Linked DNA regions of Struthio camelus. The protein of the gene in region 1 purifies or fractionates together with the protein of each later gene. This does not show direct contact. Links are inferred from orthologs where the notes say so. Each region holds a gene or a part of one and is shown in the gene's direction. Other genes may lie near its edges.

Region 1 (10,760 bases):
AATGTGCTCTGGAGAGAAATTCCCTGAAAACAGCTATGGAAGCAACAGTTTGCCGGTTGTTGAGAATGGATCGGAAGTTCTTCCAGACTCATGCACAACAGGCACTGTGATTTGCAAAGAGGAACCTCTCTTCAGCCCTGAGGCCACTCATTCACAAGTTCGAGATGATAATGAAGATGATACAGACCATAAATTTGTGGAAAAGTTTAAGGATACATGGCCTTCCAGTTTGTCTTCATTCAGAATGTACAAGTGTAAACAGTGTGATTATGCTACTGCTGTTTATAGCAACCTTAAGCTGCACCTAAGAATACATAGACATGAAAGACCATTGGGGTGTAAAGAATGCAATAAAACATTTAGAACTTTAAGCCATTTGCAGAGACACAACTGTCTTCATGTGAAGAATCAATATGAGTTTGACCATTGCCTCTGTGTAGATAGCCATTTAGAGGATCTTGAATTGCACCGTGAAATGCATGTAGGCGTGTGTCCAGAAAGAGATTTTGGTTCTTCGGAACGTTTGAGCAGTGTCCATTCCTTGCTTTGTTCGGAAGCATGTGGAGAACAGACAGATGTCCAGAGGAACAAAGAAAGTGATTTAGCAGCACAAAGTCAGCCGCGGTTCTATAAGTGTGCAGAGTGCGAGTACACTACTTACATTTTAAGCAACCTTAAGCTGCATGTAAGAACTCATACAGGTGAGAAACCTTACAGCTGCAGTGTTTGTCAGAAGAAGTTTCGTACTTCCAGTCACCTGAAACGACACAAGGTCATGCATTTTAATGCAGAGCATCTCAAATGCAGGAACTGTGACTATTCAACAGACAAATGGCTATCCTTGAAACAGCATCTGGCTTCACACTCTGATAAGGAAATCTCATCTACTGGCAGTCTCTATGAACAAAAAGCACTACCTGTCAAAACATACACATGTGAAGAGTGCGGCTATACCACAGTCCATAATGGAAACTTTAAGCAGCACTTGAGAATTCATACAGGGGAGAAGCCATTCAAGTGTAGTCAGTGTACTGTTTCATTCCGCACATCTAGCCACCTGAAGCGCCACTTGCTAACTCATTTAAAGTTACACTGCAAAAGGTGTGACTTTTACGATAGATAGATATGCTACGCAAAAGCATGTAAAAACGCACAAAGGTTAAAATGTACAAAGTGCAAAAAATGTGATGTCACGTTTTCTACCAAAAAGCTTCTGGAAAAGCATAAATGGCAACATTTAAAAGCTGGAACATAAGCATGGATTTTGCAAGCAAGGTCTCAGTTCTGTAGAGCTGTACATGTTTTGAATTTATTCATTGTTTTGTGTTCATGTGCTGTCCCCAGAATGATAGCTGATAGTGGGTGCATCTAGTCTTTTTGGTCCAGAGAATAAAATCGAGATTGTCTTGCTCCTGGCTCTTCTGAGAGCTTTGGTTCCGGCAAAGGATGTGCTAAAGAAGTTCTTGAAGGCACGTTTTCATGCTTGAGCACTTTTTCTGTTCTCTAAGGTCGGAGCTACGTTTTGCCCTATGCTCATCAGTTGAAACACCCTCATAGAAGGGTTATCTTATTCTATTTCACCTTTTTTTTTTTTTTGGTAGCTAAACTGGAGTCTTGTTTAGCTGAAAGAATGTTTAAAGGGAGGGGAGTGTGTTTTACGTTGCGAAGTAGTAACTTTCGAATTAAAAATTGTCAATGTGGTTGGAGGCTTAATGTTCCCTCCTGTCTGCTGAAACTTGCATTCCCTCCTGTAAGGTTCTCTTGCAACAACTGCAAGAGAACGGATTAGAAGTGTTTCACAATATTACTGAAACAGATTCATGTAATCACTGGATAATTGGGATATGAAAGTCTTTTATGTATATATATATATATATGTATATATGAAAAGGTTGTTAGGCACTTAATCTTGTCTGTAATTATCCCTGATAATTCTTTGAGTAGTCTGACAGAAATGGTAATGTAATCAGATCTTGTGAGATACTGAGAAACTTCAAATCCATCTTTATGAATTTTATTTAGATGCCTGATATTAATCTAGTATGAAATGCCTTATCTTTTCTCAGGTTGCTAAATGCAGTTACGGTGCTCCTTGCGGGAAAAAAAAATCATAGCATCTCTTTTGAGAAACAATATTTCTGTTAATTTAGGCACTTCCTTACATATTGCAAATACTTCTTGGATTGCATTGAAAACTTCAGCAATATCTTGAACTGTCAAACTTGCTTGTTAATATGAGAGATTTATTCTGCCTCTGAAATGACATGTATAATGACATATATCAAACTGTAGTTATTTAATAGAAATACATTATGGTGAAGACTGAATGAGATGGATGTTTCTTCCACTTTGTAGTCAAGCTTGCTTTGAGTTATACAGCGCTAGAGACTGTATGGAAGCCGCTAACTATATGTTCAATGGTATTTATAACAGCAGTGCTATCTTGTGTGGGGGGAAAAAAAGATAATGGCAAAGGATTGATACTAATTACCCTTTTCATGTTATAGTTCAGTCCATGAAACAACAGAGTAAGCCTGAAGCTTAATTTAGAGAATGTTACCATGAACTACTACTGCTATGTTACTGCTCTCAAATTTATGCTTTTCTTTGTTAATATAGGTGATACCTTGGAGAGGCTCTTTGGCAAAGTAGAAAAGCAATTTGCAAGAAGAGTGGACTGAAACTTATCAGTGGGTGCATGCACCTAAGGCTAGATCAACAAAGGAATTTAAATGATCTAGTTCTCTTTGATTTCAGTAAAATCAGGCAATTAAATGTTTGTGACCATGAACCTTAGTGATGTTACAGATATTTTTACTATAAGCTGGGAAGTCACCATTTGGAAATGCAAGAAGAAAGATTCTGATCTTAGAATGACTGAACTAACAATTGGTTACAGCTGTGAGAAGTAAGTTAGCTTAGCATGAATGTGGCAAAGCGTTTCTGGGAAATATTAACACTATTATGCAACCATGGTTGACTTTATTTGAATTTCTCTGGAATTCTGACAGCGTATTTGAAGAAAATAAAAAAAGAACAGGTGCAAAGAAGAGATACAAAAATGATGACAGAATTGAAATTCTGTGCATCAGGTGAAACTATGAAAACAAAATCTGATAAGGAATAATTACCTGTTTATAAGTATGTTTTAAATAAACTGAGCTCCCCTTTTCTCCGTTAAGGGATAAATACACTGTGAATTAAATCAGACAGGACACACAGTAAACACTGGAAATTTCTTTTAGTGGCAAGTAAGGAGAACAGAAGACATTCTCAGATGGAGCTTGATAAGTTTGTAAAAATAACTTTTTAGGTGGCTACCTCTAATTTAAAAAAAAAAACAAAAACAAAAAAAAAAGACTCATGAGGTTCCCCTCTGTCCTTAATTCTTTCCTAGTGCAAATGCACTGTCCTTCATAGAATTAGAAGTTTAAACCTAAAGTAAACCTAAATTTAAACGTAAATGCATATCTACTTTAAAATAAGGGCATTGGCTATTTCTAACGAGCAAAAAAATAAAAATCAAAGGTGTAATATTTTTGTCCTTGCAGAGTTTTAGCAAGAAGCAAAGTCTTTTCTAAATCATACTATGATATCTTTTACTTGAACCAAAACATTATCTTGGTGATTTTTTTTTAATTAACACATCCTGAATTTGGATAAAACAGTAAAATGCAATAGCATTAGTGACCCATCTCCTTGAGCAAATATATGGAGATCATTTTATCTGCTCCATGTCTTCTAAACAAGTGAATAATAAAGTTAAACTTGAGGTGAAATAAATGAATATAGGTGAGTTAGACCATGCTGCAATACTTGTAACCAGTTTTATATACAGCACATGGAAGGAAATAACGTTTTTTTTTTTTTTTTTTTTTTAGCTTGGAAAGTAAAAACTGTCCCATGCTGTTTTCCTCAGGCTCAATCCAGTGTCCCTAGGGGAGAGAAAATTACTAAATTTTAGTAATAAAGCTTTCACTTGGGCTTTTAAAATTGTGGGTGAACTGAGAGAAGAAAATACACAGAAAAGTGTGTTTAAAAAAAAATACTTTTGAAGGAGTCTTTGTGGACCAGATAATGTATGCTTCTTTCTATTGCCTCACATACCAGAGGCCTTTTGGATATGAGGGCATAGAGATAAGAAATAGGCATTCCTCAACTTCCCTTACACTTTGCAGTAAAGATGGGGGGGGGGGGTGGTTTGTGTGTGTAAGAAAAAACTTTTGCTATCCAGCTTTAAAGGCGTGTGTCTAGTTTATAAATCGAATATAGCATTAAGGAAGGCTTGTACAGTCTTGGCAAAGGAGAAACTTGTGCAGGAGGAGGGGAGAAGGAAGCTTGTTGTTCATTCGGTTCTCTCCTTAAAGGACTCGGCCAGGAGATAGAGCAGTTAAATAAAGAGCTCATTTTGTTCCCATAACTGTAGGCTAACTTGCTGAGGGCTCTCCTATTAGAGAAGGGAATTGCAGCCGACTTAGCTTCAGCTTAGCATAAGCGCCTAAAGCAGGTGAAGCCTGCAGGCCGCGGGACTGAACTGTAACCCAAAGAGCATTGCTGGCAACGTGACTGCAAAGTAAGCTAAAACCAGCCCTCAAGGGCACAGAGTGACCAGAGGTAACAGCTGACCTTTGGATAAGATAAGGTGCAGGAACACAGCAGCCGTCCCGGGATGTAGATGTGAACCAATCAGAGGGAAAGAGACCACCGACTCAGCAAAGAAGATTGGAAGAGACTATCACTGGCAGATGGGAAAATAAAACTGTAAAAAGTATAATTACTTAAGTATTCTTTTGTTCTGGGTCCATCCCCAGAGGCACCCAGCTCGAGCTGTTGCCCTGTCATACCATCCTTTAATTAAATGATTTTGCTGTTGTACGTGTGTGAGACTCTGCTCCTTGGAAACCTAGCGTCAAACTATTTCTACAACATCTCCAGCCTTTCAGCCTAATGCGATCTTGACCTAGCAGACAAGAATTGCTTCTCAAAGGCAAGAATCCAGACTATGCATATGATTGGGGTATCAAAAGGAGAGAGGGGGATTCTTTTCTGAAGCCTGGCTTCTGCGAGGTTTAGATCCGTAATCCTGTGAAATAGGGCTGAAAGCCCAGCTGCCTTTTTTTTTTTGTTTAGTAACAGTAACAGCTGCAGGAACAGTGGATTAGACAATGTCAACAAGTTGATTAGGATGGGAAGCATACTAGCAACTTGGTTCATTAGTGCCTAATAGGGAAGTTCAGCCTCAGGTTTTTTTTTTTGGTTTGGTTTTGTTTTTCTGATTATTGGAACGGAAGATCTGAAACCTTATGTAAACAGTAAGGAAGCTTTGCAGTGAAGACTGCAATACATAAGAGTTCAATAAACAATGATAACAGAAAAAGGACGGGTGAAGAGGTGCAGGGGCCTGAAATGTAAGATTTAAGTAACTCTTAAAATCTGGACATCAGTGTTCCAATTTTCACTCGGGCTGCCTTGTGTTAATGTGGATTTTTTTTTTTCCAAGATACTTTAGCAAAACACATTGTAAAAGTAAGACTGGTGAAATCTTACACAGCAGAGGACAGAAAAAAATGATCAGATTAAAAAAAAAAAAAGGTTAAAAAAAACCCCAAGCCTTTTCGCCGCATGGAGTTTTGTTCCGCCTCTTCGAAGCAGCCCCCGGGCGGCCACGCCCCCTCTCCTGGCCACGCCCTCGAGCCCCGCCCAGACGGCTCTGCCGCCCTGGGCTTGGCGCCTGCGCAGAGCCCCAAGCCTGGCGTCGTCCCCGTTGCGCGTGCGCGAACGGTGCCGTCCCCTCCTCCCCCCCCCCCCCCCGCGCAGCCGTTACGGCCTCCCCTTTGCGCCTGCGCCGAGCGCGCGCCTTTCCGCGGACAGCGCCTGCGCCGCGTCTCGGCCGGCCCGGCTGTGACGAGCGGCGTTTCCGTGCTTTCACCCCTTTTTCCTCTGCCGAGCTTGGTACCCCTTCGCCGCCAAGATGCCGCGGATTATGATTAAAGGCGGTGTGTGGCGGAACACCGAGGTAGGAGCCGGTTCGCTTTAATATCCTCCCCCCCGGGTTGGGGCCTCCTCCGGGATTGCGGGGGAGGGGGAAGGGGGGGGGGTCACCCTACATTAGTGCGCAAGCGCTGTGGGAGCGGTCGTGGCGCGCATGCGTGGAGGGGCTTCCGTAGTAGGGTCGTTTGCCTCCACGGCGGGGATGGGAGTTTGGGGTCTTCCTTATTCCTCTCTAGCGGGGGAATAAAGGGTTAGGGCTTTAGAAGTACCGCGGCTCTGGTAGGCTTGCTTCCCCTGCAGACTGGACCCCCCTGTTCGTCCCCTGGCCTGGTCGGCAGAGGTCGATTCAGTGCTGTTTCTCCTGGGGGTCATGTGTTTGGGGGGGGGGGGGAGGAAGCTCGGCCATGCGTAGCTCCTGGCACGCAGAAACCGCCCCCGCAGCAACTCGAGCTTCTCCGTGGATCCACCTGCACCTCGCCCTGCTCGGAGGTGTCGCTTTTCTAGGTTGGAACTTGTCCTGTACTGCATGGGCAGGGTTCTTACTCACTTGGGATATGAAAGAGCTGGAGTTCGTTCCTCTTGGAGACCCTTCCTAATGCAGAAAAGCTGAAGATAGGTATGGGCTCTTCATCTGCAGCCCAGAGTGTTTTGGGCAGAAGAATCTGTGTTGGCCGGAGTTTGAATGCACAAATGTTTCCCTGTGTCTAAAGAAAAGAAGATGATCTCTACCCTGTTTTTGCCCTCACGTTTCTTTCAGAACTATAAATAATAGTGAAAAAGAAAACAATAGTGCAAGAATTAGAGATTTCAGATTAATTTCGCTAGGTGCCAGGTTCAAAGCAAAGGAGATACTTACTTACTTACTTACTTACACAGTAAACTGTAGAACTCTGCTACTGTATACTGTGGACACTAAGTATTTACATAGTTTCAAAGAGCAGTAAGAAAAATTAATGGAAGATAAATGTCCTATGTTCTCTTAAACACCTATGCTATATAGCAGCTCTGCATCAGGAGGCTGTTGAGTTGCAGGTCAGTGGAGGAAAAGAAGTACTGCTGTGTACGTGTGCTGTTCTTATCATCTTCCATAGCTGATGAATTTTGGCAACTGTTAGAGAAACAGCAGTGGGTTAAATGGATCGTTGTTTCACCCGCTTTTGTATATCAGAGATGAAATAGAAAGCTCTTGTATTTACTGCTATTTTTATGATTAATGTAATGTGAATGTACAACATTAAAAAATACAAAAAGCGGAACTAATTGACGGTCAAAAAAATGACCGATTACTGGCAAATCGGTCTGCTATTGTCATCAGTATGGCTACTGCATGCGATTTGACAGTGAGTAGAATTCAGAAACCGAGAGAGGATTTATGGAAATTTGGGGCTTTTTTAATAGAGATTATATGAACTGCTTCCTGTAGCATCTCAAGCTGAAGCTCATTAGTTTGCAGTTGAAGCTGCTGTGCGCTGTGGGAACTGTCCGCGCTAGACAGCGAGTCTGTCACTGACGACTAGCATCTGCACTGTGCAGCCAAACAGATTCTGAGCAAACTACGTGATCTTATTGGATATAGAATAACATTCGTGGTTGACAAGGCTATAAAGAATAGCTGTGAAGTATTTAAAATACCATTTTCTGAATTGTGGGGAGACCAGAAATAATGAAGCCGTTTTTGTGGAGAAAGGGAGAGAGGAATGGATGGATGGGTTGACAAGGCAATAATTACAATTTTTAGCTTTTGATCATATCTCTATGTGTATAGTTTGATATATATGAACAGCCTGGCCTCCAAGCTGAGGTAATCCTAACTGAATCCATTACGTATTTTTCCCCATAAGCTTGTAAGCTTTCGGATCAGCATTTCTGGATGTAGCATTCTAAACATTTCAGTGGTTTATTTTAGGATTTATTTAGAATAGAGGAACTTCATATTTTGTGGTGTATTTTTTTAACAGCTTTTTCCATTTATAGGTGAATATTCCATCGCAACACAGGTTTGCATTAAAACTTGCAAAAAAACCCACTTCAGGGCGTTATTTAAAACAAGCCACCTCAGAGGATCTATCCTAATTTTTTTTTTAATGTTCTATCACTGTCAAACAGATAAACACCTCCCTGCCTCTTTATTACTATTCTTTGAAAAAGACCTACAGAACCATCAAAAACTGCATGCGTAAGAACGTTGAAACTATTAATTTTGAAAGTTCTGTCAAGCCTGCGAAGTAGGCCGCAGTGATCATTCCTAGTCTTTTTCATTCAGTCTCTATCAATTTCAGTGGGTTTTGGAATACAAATTCTCATGCATCTTGAAATAAAATGTGGAAAAGAAGCAGTAGTGCTTTGTCGTTTCTAGTGGGTCAGCCCTTTTTATGAAACTTACTGCATTCTCTTCTGCTTCAGCTGAGTCTTTCCGCTTTGCGAGTTTTGGTGATCCATAACAATATACATAATTTCTGTTTTAAGGATGAAATTCTGAAAGCAGCTGTGATGAAATATGGCAAAAACCAGTGGTCTCGTATTGCTTCTTTATTGCATAGGAAATCAGCAAAGCAGTGCAAAGCCAGATGGTAAGTGAGAAATACCATGACTGGGAATATGAAATTCATAGTTACTGTGAATTTAGAAGTTACTGAAGATTGATTTATGCCCATAGAGGAACAGTGATTTTAGTTTGAGTTCCATTTCTGTGGTTATTGCAAATTCCTATTGCTTAAAAGGAATATGAAGAAAAATAGCCAAGCGTTCACTTTGCAAGTGATGGCAGTGTCCTCAAGTACAGAATCACCGAATTTACATACATAATTTTTCTTCTGTATTTACAGGTGTTTTAAATCAAAAGAACTGCTTTCAATGAAGTATAATTGTCAAATAATTATTTACAGATAATTTTCTATTTTTTTGATGAGTTTGGCATGAGGATCAATATTTAGAAATTACACTGCCATATTTCAAGTTACATCAAAAATGGTAGCATAAAAGCGATGCAAATAATGCAGCATGAATCCACTTAAGGATCAGACTTAGTTTCTCAAGTATTGAGCTGCACATACTTCTCAGAATGTTTCTGCGTAAAGGTAACAGTACTGACACAGTTAAAGATAAATAAGACAACTCTTAGAAGGATCCAGACCAAACAAGTCTACCATTTTTGGTAACTTTGGTTTTTGTGAGTCTTACCTTTCTTTTTCCGAGTTAATTTTGTGACTCTGCTTTGTCAGAAGAGAGAAAAGGAATGGAGGAAGAGGCAGTATCTGTAGGAAAAGTGGTGGGTTAATAATACGTTTTAAAGTTCAAATACTTATATCATGAAAGTACGTTGTAGTAACATCCTTTTATACCAAAAAAAGTCTTAAATATGTATATGTGTCAAGATTACGAAATCTTATTGTAGTGATGCTCAAAAACACTGTTATAAGTTAATTTAAGATAGATCAATGGATAGCTTGCAACTGTCCCTCTTAACTATTGAACTTTTTAACAGGTACGAGTGGCTAGACCCAAGCATCAAAAAGACAGAGTGGTCACGGGAAGAAGAGGAGAAACTCTTACACCTGGCAAAGCTGATGCCCACCCAGTGGAGAACCATTGCCCCAATTATTGGAAGAACTGCTGCACAGTGTTTGGAACACTATGAATTTCTGCTGTGAGTTACTGTTCTGCTAGAGGTGCATAACAGGAAAATCTGTGCAGTTTGTTGTATTGCTGTGTCATTCTCTTCTCCCAGGATGCTGCAGTACAGTGGTTTCAAGTTGGCTGAGGTCTTTTGTAAGCAATCCTTCCATTTTTGGTTCACTTGGGAGTTTTTTTGACTGGCTGATCAGCGTGAGTGTGTGTGTGTGTGTATGTATGACAGACAGACAAAGACAGGAAAAAAGACAGAAAAGACATTATTGGAATGTCTGAATGTGCAGCCATTATCTTAGTACAATGCAGAGAGTTTCTTTGGGGCAGGAGAAGAGAAGGAAAGTACTGTCTTCTTTTGTGAGCTTTTTTAGTTCTGATGTGATTGGTAGTATTTAAAAGCATAACGGGAAACTCTTGAGTATTCATGCTGTCACACTGCTTGATTTCTTGTTGAACTTTAACAGATTACAAGAGCAGAGTTCACTACTGTCAACTTTGTCAATTTTGTATTTTATATAATATTACGTTGTTGTAGTATAATATTATGTAGTTTCTTTCTGCTAACTTAACAATTATTTAGGTAACTGTACCATGTTTGTGAATCTTTTCTGCAGTGAGTAATTGTGTAAAGTTTACTGTATGGTATGGTGCAAGCATATTTTTCTCGGTCAGTCTATGGGATGTTCTAAGGAAGAGATGGCTGTTGTCAGGCCGGGGAAAACAGAAAGTTAATTGTGATATATATGATGCATTTTCAGGGACAAAGCTGCTCAGAGGGACAATGAGGAAGAAACTGCTGATGATCCTCGGAAACTTAAACCTGGAGAAATTGATCCAAATCCAGAAACCAAACCAGCCAGGCCAGATCCTATTGATATGGATGAAGGTAAGAAAGGAATTTATTTATTGTTTTTTACAGAAAGCTGATCTCTGGAATTTTTCTTTTTACACACTTGTAACCATAAGAAAATCCATAATGGAAAAATGGGAACAAAATTTTTTTTCTTATTTTTCCTTCAGATTTTGTCTTATTTCTGTATCTGACCAGTCTGTTTCTACTCTTTCGGGTTTTCTGTTCCTTTTATTAGTATGTTTCATACCTTCTCATCTGTCTTTGTTATCTCTTGCCTTGGCTGGCTGTT
Region 2 (10,308 bases), on another chromosome or scaffold:
ACAAGATCTCTCCCTCATTGTAAAGCAGGAGTTAATGCCTCCTATACCCACCCTGAAGTGGAGCTTTGAAGGAATACAGGAAGATGGCAATCCAGGGGATGCGACTGAACACAGAAGCAAAAAGTCGAACAGACAGTGTGGTGGAAGTCAGCAGGGAAGAGGTTAAGAGTCGGGACAACTTTGTACATTTAGCTGAGAAGAAGCAGCACACGCTTTTTACTGCACCAGAGCAGCAGAGAGGGTGTGACGGAGAGCTAACTGTGCAAGATGGCCTCATAGGAAAGCAGCAGTGCGCTGACTCACGGGCTGAGTCAGAGCCTTGCCAGACCTCTGTTCCTTTCCCAATCAAGGAAGCAGCAACTTCCCACAAACTTATTTCAAGGCCGTAGTTTGGATTCTGAGCATTCCTGCACTAAGCCACCACCCATGACGATCCCCTATGCCCTTCCTTCGATGCCTGCAACCCAGTGGGAAGCCCCATCCTTCAAAGCACAGGGCGTCCCAAGGGGGGAAATCAGTGCTGTGGCCTCTCCTAGGCAGAAAGGGAATTTTTTTCCTGCTCAGTCTGTGCAAGCTATGCCCTGTTTGGCAAAAGACTGGCTCTCTCAGGAAGGGAGGCAAGGGGAAAATTCAAGCTCAGAGATTTCCATTCTGGCATGGACTCTCCACCCTGCTCAGGAAAAACGCCCACATGCTCTTCATGGTGTTACGCTGCTTTGAAAGAACAGATTGCATGCCCTGGTTCTGCACTCTAAGGGTGGGCAGAAGATGATCTCACAGTCCGCAGTGTTCAGGAGACCCAAGAATTCAGGAAAGAAAACTGCCCTGGCTAAAATCCCATTCTGATTCAGGAACTATCAGTGAAAATCAGCAATTAAAAATATGAGTAAAATTACAAATGGAAGAAAGGGGAAATAGATAGTGAAAAGTACATACGAGGAGCTTTAAAGAACAGAAAAAGGACACAGGAAGCAGGAAAAAAATCCCTGTATTGGCAAGGCTAAAGACAATAAAAGGCAGTTTTTAAAGTACATTAGGAACACAAGAAATCTTTATGGACCAGTTATAGGCCAAGAAGCAGATGAGAAAAACATTAACAACGACCCAAACAAGCAGAAGTCTATAAATGTTTTTATTCTCTTTTAGGAAGTAAGGTATTCGATAACCTCAAAGAAGGATCAGCATTTAGGAGAGATTCACATTTGCAAAAGTACAGGCATCCTAGCGTACTGAATGAGATAACTCAAGAACATTGGTCTCCTAGTGTTAGTATTTAATAAACTTTGAATACTGTGGAAACTCCAGAGACTAGAAGAATGTGGATATTGTGGGAATGAATGTCATTCTTCAATAGGAGCATGAGTTTAGTTGATAAAGTAACTGTGTAAATGTAATGAATTGAGAGTTCACAAAATGTTTCACTTGCAGTGAGCATCATTCTGATTGCAAAGTGGGTACTATGCAGTGTGTCTAATACCCCCTTCTGAATGAATTAGAACTAGAGACATCTCAAAAAGCAGTCACTTAACAGGGTTTTCTAACAGGACCCCACAGGGATCCTGTGGTCTCCGCTGTCCCGTTTGTAGCAATGATCCTGAGGCCAATATGAAATCGCACTGAGAAAAACTACAGGTACCATAAAGAATTCCAGATGGCAACTAAGAGGCTGTGCAAGTGACACCAGCAAGGGATTTCTTTTCAAGCCAGATACATTTGAAACAACCAGGAATTCATCTAGGAACAAAGGTCACACAGAACTTTCTAATTCAGAAAACAACGACTTTGAGAAGGATTTAAGAATCACCATGGACATGCCTCTGACCTTGAGCACCCAGTGTAGTGGAGGGTGTGAGGAAAAGGCCAACGAGATCCTTACATATATAAACAACTGTGCAGAAAGCTGAGGGAGGAAAGTGATCTAATCTCTCTAGCCAACACTACTGGGACTGATGTTGAAATACTTCTTATATTTCTAATGTGGATAAATTGGAGAGAGTGCAGGAAAGAACCTTCAAATAATTGGTGAGAGGAAGGAAATGCTTCTAAGAGACTAGAAGAGTCCAGTCTGCTTACTCTATCCAACGACAGTTGCAAGACTACATTACAAAGTATAAATACCTAGTGAGAAAATGGCCTTTTTAAATCAGCAGAGAAAGGCATAGCAGGCACCAGTGGTTGGGAGTAAAGCCAGATAAAACGGAATTAAAAATAAGGTGCATTTTTGAGCCATGAGGATAATTAACTCCTGGAGGACATTCTCAAGGGAAGCGGTGCATTCTCCTGCTTTTCGTGTTTCCATGAAGTACAGAATACCTCTCTAAGACGTGCCACAGCCAAACTGCTCAAACTGAAGGTGCATCCATGGTGCCAGCTACAGGCTACTGTGTGCAAAGGGATCCAAGGCTCATCGTGCCACAGGAAGAAAGCACTCTTTGCCTAGACCTGTTCTGTTCTTACAGCTACCGTGGGAAGGGGGAAGACCTGAGTTTTTGTCCTTATCTGGTTGTTTATTTTATCTGATCATGCTTTAATGTAAAATCGTAGAAACAGGGCCTGGGATCCAGGAACTTGCATTCGCATATGAGAGTTGACTGGTGCTCCCTGTCACACACACACTCTCTCAATTAATCTTTAATTCCTTTCTGCTCAGTGGAGCAGCTTCAAAAAGCGGTAGAGTGTGCCTAAATACCAAAGCCATCTGAGGCTGGATGACTGCTGGGGCAACGGTTCTCCAAATGCGAGGTCAGCCGTACTGGGGACAGGGACAGACCCTGAAGGAAAAGGAGTTATGAGAGGAGAACGGCCCTGAGGCTGCCTCCCTTCCCTCCGTCCCTTCCTGTGTGCAGTGCCAAGCTGAGTGAGATAGGGGCTATGCCACCTTGGCTGTCCCAACGATTCGGGCAAAGCATACTGCTTCTTCATGTACAAGCCCAGACGTGGTAGGGAAATGCAAGAGGAGCTTTGCTTTTCAGCAAAGGTGCAATTATTTTGGGCATCTCCACATAGGCAGGGACCAGCCAGTGTGAGAATAAAGGGTAAGCCACAGCAGAAGTGTGAGCAGATCCTAACATGCACTCACATCTTGAGGGGCTGCAGAAAACTGGCCAGGCAATGAGGCAACTCTGACCAAGTCCTCTGAAATATGACTGCTGCTCGCACAGCCTTCCTCACTGAAGATACAACTCCAGGAGCAAAGGAGGTTTAGAACAAGAGGTCAGTGAGGGGTTTAACACTCTTAAGGTTGTACAGAAAAGCTGAATGATGGGAGCAGGACATTAACCAAAATCTTTGTGACTGGTGGCTGTGAGCCTCTTCTTTAAGGTAGCAGAAGGCTGGGGAGGGAAACGGACCTGGAACTCCCGCTCCACAGGTGAGCACTGTAACCACTAAACTATCACATAAAAGTAGTTGGCTCTCCTACCAACAGTACTATTAAAAAAAAAAAAAAAAAACACTGACCAAAGATATATTTTTTGTCATACTGAGAGGCTGATCATGGTATCCACGAGTGCTGGACATGGTCTGAGAATAGTTACTGGATGAAAGCTCTCTGAGCACTTGAGCTAGGGAATATCTTGTTTCTGGATCCTATCAAGTCTCACTGTGAGCAGGATGCTAAACTTCTTAGACCAAAGGAGTTTAACACTGGACAAAACTCTTTACGTCTGGAGATCTTTAAAATCAAAAGTTGTGGACCTGTGAAGGTTAGATGCTTCCACAGCCTTTGCAGCAAGATCAGGTAGGGATTTTCAGGAGTCTGGACTTAGGCACCTCCATTCCACCAATATCCTACTTTAGCACACAAGTCTTTAAAGGATCCAGCCCTTTGACTCTTAAACACTTTCCTGTCTGTTTGTACTTCACATCTATACACACCCAAGTTAGAGGAAAGGAAGCACCTTGGTGTCGCGGAGGACAACTCTAGTCAAAGACATTAAGTCATTCCTTTCCTTAAAAAATCATTTTATCTACTCGAAGCAGGGATTATCCCAGCATTTGAGCTATGAAACTATGAATAACTCTGAAAATAATATCCATCATCACAGGATAATGCACTAAGCTGACAATCGGAATTCTTGACTCACTACTTGGGAATCTGGACTCCTCTGAGAGGTTTGATCTTGACTCTAAACTGCCTGCAGTGAAATCAATAGTAAAACCATTTCACGGGGTGCAGACTGAGGCTTGCAGATAAGAAAATGCAACAGTGGATGCCTGGCTATTGACAAGCGCAGCTCTTAGGAAGTGACACAGTAATTACTGCTTCTATTTACGTGACTGCTGAGCACAGCCTAAAATTGATGACAAGCTGCCCAAAATATCCTGTGTAAAACCTCTAACGTTATCAGAAAGTATTAGTAAACCTTCTTCTGCTGCCCACCAGAAGGGTAGCTGCCAGCCTGTCCCTTCCTTGGGCCTGGAAAGGCATAGTTGGAGGTGGAAGGGAGCGACCCTGTGCAGGGGGACAAACTCTCGGGAAACTATCCACGGGCTGCCAACAGGAAAAGCAGATAAACACGCCTTTCTCAGTGTGCCTTGTCGTTCATCGGTCAGGGCAAGCAAAAGCAGCAAAGAGAACAAGCCCCCAGAGGCAGGCTGCTCATCCAGGAACCACTTGTCCCCGTCCCAAGCTGCTGCCATCAACCCCAGCGGAAACGGCACGCACCTCACGGAGACACGGCTGCTTTTCAAACTCCCCTGGCACAACCTGAGCAGGGGACAGGGGGTTTCTTTGCCCAAGGGGGCCAGGGTGCTGCCTGGGGCGGGTGCCCCAGTGGGCTGCTCTGCGAGCAGCCCGGCCTCGGGGACCTCTCGAGGGCCTGGCCTGGCCCAGCCCAGCCTGGCATGGCGGGAGAGTAGCTCCCCGGGCAAGCGAGCGTGTCGGTAGCCTGGTACTTCCCACGTCGCCAGGCGAGTCCCAGCAGCCTGACCACGGGATGCGTCTAAAAGCGGCAGTGACGGGAGGAGAGAAAGGGCTGCTGAGGAGACGGCGTCTCTCCACTCACACCCCCAAACTGCAGCCTTTTAACGAGACGGCGAGGCAAATCCTCCTGCAGAGCAGCTGGATCAAGGTGCTGGGCTGGCCCTGGCCCTAACCCTAACACCAACCTCAACTCCCTAACCTCAACCCCAACCCCCTAACCTTCTAACCCCAACCCTCCCAACCTCACCCCCCCATCCTGACTCCCCAGCCCCCCAACCCCCCACCCCAACCCTAACTCTCCAACCCCCTAACCCCCAACCTCACCCCCTAACCACAACCCCCTAACGTCAACCCCTAACCCTCTAACCCCAGCCCCCTAAGCCCCAACCTCAACCCTCTAACCCCAACCCCCCATCCTGACTCCCCAGCCCCCCAACCCCCCACCCCAACCCTAACTCTCCAACCCCCTAACCCCCAACCTCACCCCCTAACCACAACCCCCTAACCTCAACCCCTAACCCTCTAACCCCAGCCCCCTAAGCCCCAACCTCAACCCTCTAACCCCAACCCCCCCAACCCCAGTCCCCTAACCTCAACCCCCTAAGCCCAACCCTCCAACCCCCTAACCCTCTAACTCCAACCCCTTAAGGCCATCCCCCTAAGCCCCTAACCTCAACCCTCTAACCCCAACCCCCTAGTCCCCCAACCCCAGTCCCCTAACCTCAACCCCCTAACCCCAACTCCCTCATCTCAACCCCCAACCCCAATCCCCCTAACCCCAATCTGCCCCGGGGCGCTGAGCCGAGGCGGTAAGGTGGGGGCGACCACCATCGCTACACAGGCAACAGCGAGGCTACCACCACGGCGCCCACTTCCGCCTCGGTAGCCATCATGGCGGGCTCTTGGCTCGCCGCGGTCACGTGGCAGACGCTTTCCTTACGCCGACCCTCTCTATGGTAGGTTCTCTAGCAGCAGCTGCGGCGACTTCCGCTGGGTGTGTCTATGGTTTCCCGCGCGGTGCCTTGTGGGCACTCGGCGGGATTATGGTGGTGGTGTAGGGCTTGTTTGCGCAGGGCGGGTGGAGGCCGCGGTGTAAGTATGTGGGGGAGACGCGGTTCTCGCTGGGGAGGGGGGCGAGATGGCCTGCCAGGGGCCAGGAGTGCGCCTGGGGCGGTCCCTGGGGCGGTCCCTGGGGCAGCGGAGGGGGTAGGGGCCCAGTCCGGATCGGGCCGGGCCCGGTGCGCTAGAGGAGCGGCCGGGCTTCGGCTGGGCCAGGGAGCGCCGCGGCGTGAAGGGGCCTGAGGAAGGGGCGGCTGCGGGGGGGGGGGGGGGGGGGCAGGAGGGAGAGGGCCCGGAGAGAAGAGCGGGGGCGATTTGGGGGATGGCTGTGGTTGGGAAAGAGGGAGAGTGCCCGGGGAGAAGGGTGGAGGGTGATTTGGGGGCAGAGTGAAAGGGTGGCTGTTCAGTGGTCTCTGTGTTCAGCTCTGAGCAGCGTGCCTCGGTACTATTTGGCATAACCTTCCTTTGTGCAGCTCAAACACTGAGTTTAAAATAAAAAGCAGAAGCCTAGTTAGAGCGGTGTAAGAGGCAGGGAGCAAAGTGATGGTGCAGCATTGGTCGTACTGAAATTTTAGATTCTTACGTTGTGATTTCAGGTTTGGGGGCTGTTATGAGTTCCAGTGCTCGTGTTCAGGCTCTGTGGTGAATGTAGTGGGGATGGGTTCAGCAGGATTGTTAGCCGCAGGCATAGTGCTGTACGGGCACGTTCTGTACTGCTGGGGCAGTTCAGCTCCAGGCTTAGTTAGCCCAGCCACTTTCTCTTGGCTTAGCAGTGAGCTGGTAAACCATGCTTGGCCAGTCCTGGCCTCATGTAGTGCTAAAATGGATTTTTCAGTAGGCTGTATTTCTGAAACTTAAGAGTTTCTGAAACTTAAGAGTGCAGTGCAAAGGTCCCTGAGTTCAGGTCTGTTAAGGCCAAGCCAAACTCAGTCTGACCTCAGAAAGAGTCAATGGGGAGCAGGGACAGGTTCCAGAATATTTTTTAGTGTTTCATGAAAGTATACAGCCAGACTAGATCTGGTTCTGCCTCTGAACTAATAAATCCCTGCTGTTACTGATAATTGGTTCAGATAAGACTTGAGAGCAAATGGCTTTCTCAGATTATGGGTCTGGTAGAGTCTGCACTGAGCCAGACCTAAAAGAGCCTGCTGGGCTCCAGGTGACTTGCCCATTGTCACTGATGTGTGTCTGCAGTGGTTGGTCAATGAGCCAAGGCTAGTTACCATGTCAGTATTACCTTCTCACTGCTTTTTAAAGATATTTGTGTCTGTTAACTTTGTCCTGAATAGTAGTTCAGTGGCAGTAATAATGTTCTCTGTGGTGGTATGTTCCTATTCATGTTAAAATTAGAAAACATTTTTGTCACTGAAGTGATGCATTTTCTGGCCCTTTAAAAGTGAAAAATGAACAAAAATGCAGGTACAGCATAAACAAATTACCCTTGTTTGTGATAGCAAAAAAGCGTATCTTATTTTTTCTTCTATTTAATATTGTTTAAAATAATTTCTTGTTGTCCTTTACTATCCAACCTTCCACTTGGTAGGCTGGTGCCTTTATGTATTTCTGCGCATGTCTCTCTCTTGTGTCTTAGGTATCTTTAGTCTGTGGTTAATGGATGTGCATGTCTTTGTGAATCAGAAGTGAGGATAGTTGCAGATAACATATTTGAGATGATGCTGTTTGATCATCCAGGGTTTTTTTGCATTGGTTATCCATCTTAAAATTTTGGTGTAGTGGGGTGGGATTGCAGTGTCCAGCTCCTGTCTGGCAGTTTTGAACGCAGTGCATGCTGACAGGGTCTTTGTGTGGTAGAGGCTGATTTGAGTCTCTTTCACTCCTTTGCCACAGGAGAATTTACAGTAGCGATTCTTGGCCTCAGTTTTTTCATTTTTAGGGACGTGCTGGTGATATGTGGGTTTCTAAATGAGAGCTGCTGAAAACTTCCTTCTTTGCCTGAGCTAGAATACTTTTTTTTTTTTTTTTTTTTTTTTGTAATGTAACAGTAAAGTTGTCAGGCTTCTGCTACCGGAGGAACATTAACCCTGTCACACTTAAAACAAAAACTTTTTTTTCCTGGTCACCTGGAGCTCTGCATAAGTCAGTTCCAAAAAACTGTGCTGCGTTGTTGATGTCAGTGCTGTGCCTGCCCTAAATAGGGCCAGGAGAAGGGCTAGTGCATTCAGGATATGTGACCATCCTAATTTAATTGTCAACACCATTCTGGACATACTGTGGTCCATGTCAACCAGTACTTGCAGTGATGATAGCTGGATACAGTTTGGGTGATAACGGAGGGACTATTTCCAGTAGGCAGTATGAATGAGGCTGTCATTTCTGGGGAGAAGAAAGAGTTAAGTTACGTAGCTGCAGCCTGTGCTGTACCATTTGCCTGGAGGATGGGAGAGAATAACTCATGACCTGTTTTATTTACTTCTAAAACAAAGCCTCAGATTCTCCCTGTGCTTCAACTTTCAGACATGTTGGAAAAGTTTTTCAGTTTTGAAAAACTGAATAGGTTCTGTCAATCGTGTGCCAAATGATAGCTTGTTTTGGGTAGTGGGACTTGTCATTGCTGCTACAGTTCCAGGAACAATGTAGTTTCTAATGAATGGCTTTCATTATAAGCTGTAGTAATGACCCTTTTTTGCGTTTGATTCTATAGTAATTAAAATGACCACAGCAGCAAGGCCAACGTTTGAACCTGCAAGAGGAGGACGAGGAAAAGGAGAAGGAGACTTAAGTCAGCTATCCAAACAATATTCCAGCAGAGATCTTCCTTCTCATACTAAAATCAAATATAGGTAAGTTTTGCTTTTCGTTCTGTGCTCTTGGAAAACAGGCTGGGGAAGGTTTTCTTTTGCAAAAGCTGCTCTGAGGTTTTTCACAATAGATATTCATGTGCTTGACACTGAGCAGACACCAGATAGCGTGCAGCACTGCTAAATGAGTGGGCTACAATTGTAAGTCTGAACAGCAGACTTAGAAGATTGAATGGATTGCAAATAATTGCAGAGGTTTAATTTAACTTGTGTTTATTACCGTTTATGGAAGTGAATAACCTGAAGAGGCTTTGGAGACAAAGCATTTCAGGCAGTGCAGTCAAAAGAAAAGCATTAGGAACAGTGGGAGTTAACTGAGCCATTGAGGATGCTATCACTTATAAAGCTAGATGGGGTAAGAAGTGTGAAGGTGACCACATCTTAAAAGCAGGAATAACACATCTTGTATTTGGCATGGAACCACTAGTGAAAAGATTTAACCAGAGGCAGGGAAATAATGGAATAACATTGGGGCACTGGCTTATGCTGGAAGGGCTGATGTTAAACGCTACAAGTATTTCATGCAGGTACCAGAAAAGGAAGTTGCTTTAATCAGTATGAGAGATAATAGAATCTTGTGTAAATATTCTCCTCTGTTTCAAATGCATAATAAATCTTCATTATCATTTTGAAAGATATATTGACTCTAAATTTCACTATGATACAGACATGTAGAATTTAAAGGAGATGCATCAGCCTGGAAATGGTTTTAAACAACTGAAGTTATTCTTTTCAGTGAAACTGCTGTTAAGGTTTTATGTTTACGCTTTCTATGTGCAGATGTTCCTCCTTACACCGCTCCCTCCAGACCCATTGATTTTGAAGAATACATATGGATAAGGGAGTTAGTGTTTTGGAGAATACAAAATCAGTAGCACAAAAAATGCTATCAAATGCCCATTCATTATTATGGAAAAAATTACTCGTGCCCCTTTAAACAGAAGTGGGGTGTGGAACACCATATGCTTTGAGAGAAGTTGGGGGGGGGGAAATTATATATATATGTATATATATACATACATACACATTCACAAACTATATTTTAACAAATACCTTAACTTGGTGGGGGTTGGGTGGGGATTCTTTTATTCTTCCTCCCAAGTACCTAATGCAAAATTACCTTTGTTAAATAGCAGGACTGCATCATTACAAGAAGGGTTCAGTATTTCAGGCCCTCTTGTGCTTGCCTGAGTGACACAGAGTTTTTGGGGATTTTTGCAGCTTAACTGGGGATTCCAAAATCAGATTTTTAATTACAAGAGCAAATGAAATACTTCATGAAATACTTCCCTGTGAGGGTGACAGAGCACTGGAACAGGTTGCCCAGAGAGGCTGTGGAGTCTCCTTCGCTGGAGATATTCAAAACCCGTCTGGATGTGATCCTGGGCAATATGCTCTAGAGGTCCCTGCTTGAGCAGGGAGGTTGGACTAGATGATCTCCAGAGGTCCCTTCCAACCTAAACGATTCTGTGATCATAAAGATAGGCTGTGCGCACAGCCTATTTA

The links.
Region 2: the proteins of CDC5L (region 1) and CWC15 purify together in Homo sapiens (affinity purification with mass spectrometry; 4 studies listed by BioGRID and IntAct, with this or other methods). This does not show direct contact. The link is inferred for Struthio camelus from reciprocal best matches to the Homo sapiens genes CDC5L and CWC15.

What each region holds. Positions count from the first base shown.
Region 1 is NC_090944.1:13,116,163-13,126,922, forward strand, and holds the start of CDC5L (cell division cycle 5-like protein), read left to right. Parts: upstream 1-5,729; 5' UTR 5,730-5,971; coding exon 5,972-6,016; intron 6,017-8,457; coding exon 8,458-8,561; intron 8,562-9,475; coding exon 9,476-9,637; intron 9,638-10,376; coding exon 10,377-10,504; intron 10,505-10,760. Other genes in the region: zinc finger protein 493-like, read left to right, coding at 1-1,123.
Region 2 is NC_090942.1:211,880,255-211,890,562, forward strand, and holds the start of CWC15 (spliceosome-associated protein CWC15 homolog), read left to right. Parts: upstream 1-5,917; 5' UTR 5,918-5,926; coding exon 5,927-6,020; intron 6,021-8,645; coding exon 8,646-8,784; intron 8,785-10,308. UniProt on the Homo sapiens protein: Involved in pre-mRNA splicing as component of the spliceosome. Component of the PRP19-CDC5L complex that forms an integral part of the spliceosome and is required for activating pre-mRNA splicing.